Linked DNA regions of Callithrix jacchus. The protein of the gene in region 2 interacts with the protein of the main gene of each other region in a pairwise test. Links are inferred from orthologs where the notes say so. Each region holds a gene or a part of one and is shown on either strand. Other genes may lie near its edges.

Region 1 (3,651 bases), on a different chromosome or scaffold from region 2:
GGGAAACAACACACAGGGGGGTGAGGGGAAAAGGGAGCCGGGGGTGCTGCAGGAGGATGTTGGGGGGCCGTGCATGGCAGGACTGCCGGAAAGAGCAGAAATGCAGAAATGGCAGGCACAAAAGCAGACAGCCAAGAAAAGAGAGAGCAGGAGCCAGGAAGAGGGGGGCTCCTCAGGAACTAGGTCTGGGCAGAGGAGCCCAGAAGCCCTTGCCTCAGGAGCCAGCTAAAGACATAGCCCTCTATGCACCACATGGGCAGTCCTTGCAGAAGCGGTCACCTACTGAGGCCCTGGTGAGGGACCCAGGATGTAACCCAAGAGTCTCCCAGGCCTTCTCAACTCCTCTCTCTGCCTCTCAAGGCTCCCCAGGGAAGCATGTAGCACATGCTGGCCCAAGTCCCTGCCCGCCACAAGGAGACCCTGGGAGAGACCCGAGAATCACGGGAGGAAGCCTTCTCACAGAGGCCAGCCTCCATTGGCGGACTCTAGAGGGTCTCCGGCCTACTCCCTCAGCCCAAGGCCTGGATGCAAGCCCTCCTTTCCTCCCAGGAGGAGGAGAAGCTGCCGGAGTTTGCATTCATTCTGGGGCAGCAGAAAAGCAGGAGCGCCTCCCAGCGCTACCCTGCTCCATCCCAGCCTCTGCCTGCCCACTTGGCCCTTCTTAGTAGGGGCATATCTGGAAAACATCAGACTCAGTGCCATCAGTTCAGATCCTCATCTTCTAGAGGAGGAGAATGAAGCCCAGGGTCCAGGCCCATCCAGAGCAGATGTGCCCAGTGCACAGTTCACACTCATGGGTCTGCACTCCCAGGCCCTGTCACACCCACAGTGAGGATATACACAGACTCTACCATTGGCACATCAGTGGGGGGCTCCTGAAGACAGCCTCCTCACACACATGTGCTCATGCACATGCATACACACGCACGTGTTACTCTCTTCCAGGTCTATCTGCATTCTTAGTAAAAAATGGAGGTGAAGAGGGGTGGGTTCAACAGAAAGAGGATCCCTAGAAGGGACTGGGAAGAGTCAAGCTGGCATCCTCCGTATTCTCTCCCTTTTGCTGGCTTCCCTGTCTTGTCTCAAAAGGACTCTGCTCATTCTTCACTAGACTCTGAGTCTCTCTCCGGAAAGCTGGGCCCTGAGTGGTTCTCATCTGGGAGGATGCTGTCTCACTAGGGGACGTTTGACAATGTCTGGAGATATTTTGGGTCATCAAAATTGTGGGTGGGTGTTTTGCTGCTGGCATCTTATGTGTGGAGGCCAGGGATGCTGTTAAACCTCCTGCCGTGCATAGAATAATTCCCACTACACAGAATGATGAGCCCCCAAATGTCATTAGTGCCCAGGGTGAGAAACTGCTTTAAACCATGAGGCCCACAGGGTGGGGCAACCTCTCTAGAGAAATACCAGGAGGGGCTGCGGCCACCCCACCATGGGGCACCAGAGACTTGGCAGCCCCTCTGCTTCCCACACCATAGGCTCTGCTGCTGACTCTGACAGCACCCTTCCTCACCTCCACTCCCTTGCTTCAGCCTGCTCTGCCCTCCGTGGAAGATCAGGAGGCAAGAAAATAGGTGGGTAATGTCTCCCGACATAGGAGGAACTGGTGGGAGGCTTACCAGGTAAACTGAGAGGGGGACAAAAAGGCTCTGGGTTGCTCTTGCTCTGGGTCAGGACCCCTGCACCCATACCTGCATCCACATCGTTGGGCCACCCGCTGGACTGGCTGCTACCAGCTGCTGGGGAACGGCCTGTCCCAGGATAGAACACATCATCGACGGGGCTCTCCATCTCGCTGTCATCGATGGACTTGGGGCGCTTGGTGGTGCTGGGGAAAGAAGAAAGGATCAGATGGGCCAAGGATGGGCCGAGGCTCCAGAGAGTGATCAAGTGTCCAGGTCAAACAACTGTGCACAGATGGCCCTCTGGGTGGGGAGTGATGCCAGCTGACAGAAGCACTTCTGGGCACTCACTGCATGCTCAACCCCAGGATCATCCCTAGGCCCTCAAGCCACTAGCTCCAAGCCTGCTCCTCTTCCTCAAGCCCCTTCCCGATATGTGATGCCACAGTCCTCCAGGTTGCCCATATCAGAGAACTGAGCAAAACCCTCAGCTGCCTACTGTATCCCACCCATGATTCCCCAGCAGCCCCCAAGGCTAGGGTGAGGTGAATGAGGTAATTGAAGGGACAAAAATAACACAAAACTCAGTTATCAATATAAAGAATATAGTCCAATATTTAAAAAATACCAAAATGAATGTCGAAAATCTCAAAACACCCACGTTTTAAAAAAAAGACAGGGTGGACCCTGCCCAGCATGACTTGCCCTGGCCAGAACCCACATCTCCACCTCCCAAGCATCTCTCTCCCTCTCCATGCCACCCCTACCCCTTTAGGCTCTCCCCCACTCCAGCCTTTCCAATGGCTTCCTAACTGGCAATCAGTCCTGCCCACACACTGCTGGTGGCGAGAGCTTTCTGGAGCACACACCCTCAGCATCCCCGCTTAAAACCCCTTAGGAGTCCCCGCTACCCAAGGATGAAGTCTAAATGCTTTCTTCTGGCCTCCAAAGCCCTCTGCAGGGTGGTCCCGCCAGCCTATGCAGGCTGGACTGGGACAGAGGCTGCCCTCTTCTCCTGCAACAAACCCCCGACCTGCCCCTGTGTGTCTGGGCTCAAATGTCACCTCCACAAGGGAGAGACTTTCTCAGACTCCCACTTCCAGGCAGAGCCATGCCTTGTGCAAATTTGTATCCCCAGGGCTAGGTGCTACATGACAGCACAAAGCAGGAGCTCAGTGGGTGACTGCTACTGGTGAACTCTAAAGTGTTAGAGCCAGTGCCCTCAATGAGAGGTGATATTCTGAAGCACCCCAGCCTCAGTGATATAGCTGCCTATAGCCACCTAGGACAGCCCTGGCCCTGGGGGGAGGAGAGAGAAGGTGGGAAGGTGGGGCCACTGGGCTCACCTGGTGGAAGGAGGGGAGGTGATGGACCGCCGTCCCAGGGTCACCTGGTTGATGTTGTAGTAGCTGGGACTCTCCAGGTCCGCCAGCGAGAAGTTGGGCCCTGATGCTGTGGCAACAGGAGCTAGGAAGAATGAGAGGATGATGAGGTTTGGAGGTGGGGGGAGGCCTGATGGGGTCTGTTTCATTGTCATGAATGGTTTCCCAGAATCCCAGGGTGAGTTGACTATGGGGCCAGGAGATGGGGGAAAGTGGGCCATCTGGGCTGCTGAGGAACCTTCTCTCAGCTAGGGGTCACAGGAGAAGAGACTTTGGTTGTGACTTTTTTTTTTCCTCCAAAGCAATGGAGACTGGAGACAGGGCTCTCTGGAAGACTCTACTATACCCAGCCCAGCACCAACAGGGCCAATAGTGTCCCAGAAACCATCTGTCCCCATCCACTCCCCTAAGACTCCATTAGGAGGACATCCCATGAGGTCCTACCTCCTTACTTTCAATCCCCATCCCTGGCCTGGAAGGAAGGACTCACTTACTCTGTGATACTCTCACCAGCTCCGTCACATTCCAGACCCCGGAAGTCACAAAACAGTCCTGGAAACTTAAGTGCCCTAAAGAGGGGAAAGGATGAGTGAGTCAAGACAAGGCCAGAAGGGGGCTGCCTGCCTGTTTGCAAAGGCCTTCCC
Region 2 (3,651 bases):
AAATTGATACTTCTGCTCCCCCTTAGAGAGATTCTGGGGTAAGTCTGGCTATTAGGGTTTTTTAATAAAAGATTTGACCAGGCATGGTGGCTCACGCCTGTAATTTCAGCACTTTGGGAGGCCAAGGTGGGTGGATCACCAGAGGTCAGGAGTTCAAGACCAGCTTGACCAGCATGGCAAAATCCCATCTCGTCTGAAATTACAAAATTAGCTGAGCATGGTGGTGCATACCAGTAATTCCAGCTACTTGGGAGGCTGAGGCAGGAGAATCTCTTGAATTCAGGAGGCGGAGGTTGCAGTGAGCTGAGATTGTGCCATTGCACTCCAGCCTGGACAAAAGTGAAACTCTGAAAAAAAAGATTTAACAGTGCAGCTGAGAAGCACTGCACTAGCCCAGTTGCAGTGCTGCTTTTGCTGTCCCTGAGTTAAGAAGTAGAACTCCAAAGCTGCTTAAAAGTAGGACAGCAAGGAATAGAGAGATATTTTCTTAAATAAATGAACTATACATAACATTTTTCTGGCAATTTTGCAGAAGGATCTAATACAAAACAATACTGACACATTTTCATGGTTTCTCTCCCATAGGCTCAGACTGTCCAGGTTGCTGAAGTTGAACCACAATCACAGCCACAGCCTTCCCCAGAACTTCTGCTTCCAAATTCTTTGAAGCCTGAAGAAGGGCTTGAAGTATGGAAAAACTGGGCCCAGACCAAGAATGCTGAACTAGAGAAAGATGCTCAGAACAGATTGGCACCCATTGGGAGTGAGTGTTTGGGAAGAAGAGTGGGCTCTGTCTAAAATACAGCAGGAAGACAAAATGGCAGAAAAGTGGTATCCCCTATCTTGGAGCCAAGAGAGCAAAATTTGAAATAGTATGTTGAATTCAAGCCTAGCAACAAGCAGTACTGACCTTGTGTACATAAGAAGCAGGATGTGTGGGGTTTGCCCAAAACCAGGTATTTTTAGACATAATGGGTTTCTGGAGTTGACCCTACCAGACCTGAGCAAAATGGCTTCTGGGAGGAAATGGGGACCAAGGAGTATGCGGTCAAGGTCCTTCTTTCTTGGCATTAGGCTCATACTCACGTTGTAGGCCTGTTCTGACATTACAGATGTAAGACATTACAGTAGATACAAGTGACCATTTCTAGCCCAGCACCCTGATGGGCAGTATCTGTTCTGAGCTTTTCAGATATGGACCCACAGGACCTCCATTCATCCTGGATTGCCAGGACCTCCATTCATCTTTGGGGCTTCTGTTGCAGGGCGCCAACTGCTGCGATTCCAGGAAGATCTCATCTCCTCTGCTGTGGCAGAGTTGAATTATGGGCTCTGTCTAATGACACGGGAAGCTCGAAATGGAGAAGGTGAACCCTATGACCCAGATGTGCTCTACTACATTTTCCTGTGTATTCAAAAGGTAGGAAACAGATCTTCTCAAGAACATGTTTGATCTGGGTTCTTGTTGTGTATTTGCTAGTTTAGTTAGTAAAATGACAAGCAAGAAGGTAAGGAACTCTTTCTCTTTCAGGTATATAGTGAGTTTTAAAATACATATTTTTTTAAGTCTTTTTTTTTTTTTTTTTTTTTTTTTTTTGAGACGGAGTCTTGCCCGGTCACTCAGACTGGAGTGCTGTGGCACCATCTGGGCTCACTGCAACCTCTGCCTCCCGAGTTCGAGTGATTCCCAGTAGTAGCTGGGGTTCTAGGCACCTCACACCCGGCTAATTTTTGTATTGTTAGTAGAGATTTTTCAATTTGTTGGCCAGGCTGGTCTCAAAACTCCTGACATTATGATCCACCCACCTTGGGTGTTGGGATTACAGGTGTGAGCCACCGCACCTGGCCTTTTTTAAGTTTTAAAAACCTACATATTCACTTTAGAAAATTAGAGCCAGTGCTAGGTGCTGGTGGCTCACGCCTGTTACCCCAGTGCTTTGGGAGGCCAAAGCAGGTGGGTCTCTTGAGGTCAGGAGGAGTTGAAGATGACCAGCCTGGCCAACATGATGAAACGCTGTCTACTAAAAATATAAAAATTTGCCCGGTGTGGTGGTGCCCACCCGTACTCCCTGCTAGCTGGGAAGCTAAGGCACAAGAATTGCTCGAACCTCGGAGGTAGAGGTTGTAGTGAGCTGAGATCATGCCATTGCACTCCAGCATGGATGACTCTTTCTCAAAAATTCGGGAAAAAAAAAAGCCGGACAAGATGTAATCCCAGCACTTTGGGAGGCTCAGGCAGAAGGTTCTCTTGAGCCCCAGGAGTTTGAGACCAGCCTAGGCATCATGGTGAAATCCTGTCTCTACAAAAAATTAGCCGGGATTGATAGTGCTCACCTGTAGTTCTAGCTACTTGGGAGGCTGAGGTGGGAGGATTGCTTGAGCCCCAGAAGTTGGGGCTGTAGTGAGTCATGAGTATGTCACTATACTCCAGCCTAAGTGACAGAGTGAGACCCTGTCTCAAAAACAAAAAAAAAAGAAAAAAAACCAGGAGTGGTGGTGCATACCTGTAGTCCCAGCTATTTGGGAGATTGAGGCAGGAGGATCCCTTGAGCCCAGGAGTTCAAGGCTGTGGTCAGGTATGATTAAGCCATTGTCCTTCAGTCTGGGCAACAGAATGAGACCTTGTCTCTTAAAAAATAAATACATAAAATCATAAAGTAGGAAAACAAACACTATTCATCATCCTACTACCTAGAGAAACTTCTGTTACATTATTGGTAATTACCTTGCAGCCATTCACTTTTATTATAAATCACAAAGCATTAATGTAACACTTTTCTTTTTGTTAAAGTAAACATGGTTTTCATGAAAGTAATTTATTCAAAACAAAGTCTTGTGCTAGTATAGAGCTTTTCTTCTCGTTGTTTTCTGCATTAGCACCAAATAGTTATTTAAAGGAGTGTGGAATAATATACCAATGTAGTTAGGTTTTCAGGACATCTGTGGTGAAGCATAACAGAGAAATTTATAGACTGGCAATTCAGGGGATCAGAGGTGGATTTTTTTTTTTTTTTTGAGACAGTTGTGCTCTTTGTTTCCCAGGCTGGAGTGCAATGGTGTGATTTCGGCTCACTGCAACCTCCACCTCCCAGGTTCAAGCGATTCTCCTGTCTCATCCTCCCATGTAGCTAGGATTACGGGTGTCTACCACCACACCCAGCTAATTTTTATATTTTTAGTAGAGACAGGGTTTCACCATGTTGGCCAGGCTGGTCTTGAACTCTTGACCTCAGGTGATATGCCTGCCTCAGCTTCCAAAAGTGCTGAGATTAGAGACATGAGCCACCGCGTCCGGCCAGATTTCTTAGTGTTCAAAGGATCTTGAGGAGAAACCTGCAGTATAATAGGACAAGGGTTACTGGTTGGGACTCATCCTGCTGCCTAGCTTTGACAAATGTGTGCCTCCTAGCTTTTTCCTCTTTCATTGATCCTATCCTAAGTACTATGTGAATTGCTTTACATGCTTTCATTGTGTGCTCTCCCCAGTCCTAGAAGACAGATACTGTCATCTCCATTTACAGGCAAGGAAACTGAGCCCCAGAAATTAAAAGACTTGCACATGTTATTTAACTTATACAATATCTAATGGAAGGCAAAGCCTATTCATGATTTTTCCACCACAAAACAATGCCTGGCTTGGGGGAAATAGCA

The links. The genes of interacting proteins can lie anywhere in the genome.
Region 1: the proteins of QRICH1 (region 2) and NFIX interact in binary tests that used the Homo sapiens proteins (3 or more experiments, as listed by UniProt). The two-hybrid records come from large-scale screens. The link is inferred for Callithrix jacchus from reciprocal best matches to the Homo sapiens genes QRICH1 and NFIX.

Annotation. Positions count from the first base shown.
Region 1 is NC_133523.1:11,895,461-11,899,111, reverse strand, and holds part of NFIX (nuclear factor 1 X-type), read right to left. Parts: intron 3,577-3,651; coding exon 3,502-3,576; intron 3,093-3,501; coding exon 2,972-3,092; intron 1,832-2,971; coding exon 1,695-1,831; intron 1-1,694.
Region 2 is NC_133516.1:31,676,605-31,680,255, reverse strand, and holds part of QRICH1 (transcriptional regulator QRICH1), read left to right. Parts: intron 1-585; coding exon 586-763; intron 764-1,265; coding exon 1,266-1,420; intron 1,421-3,651. UniProt on the Homo sapiens protein: Transcriptional regulator that acts as a mediator of the integrated stress response (ISR) through transcriptional control of protein homeostasis under conditions of ER stress.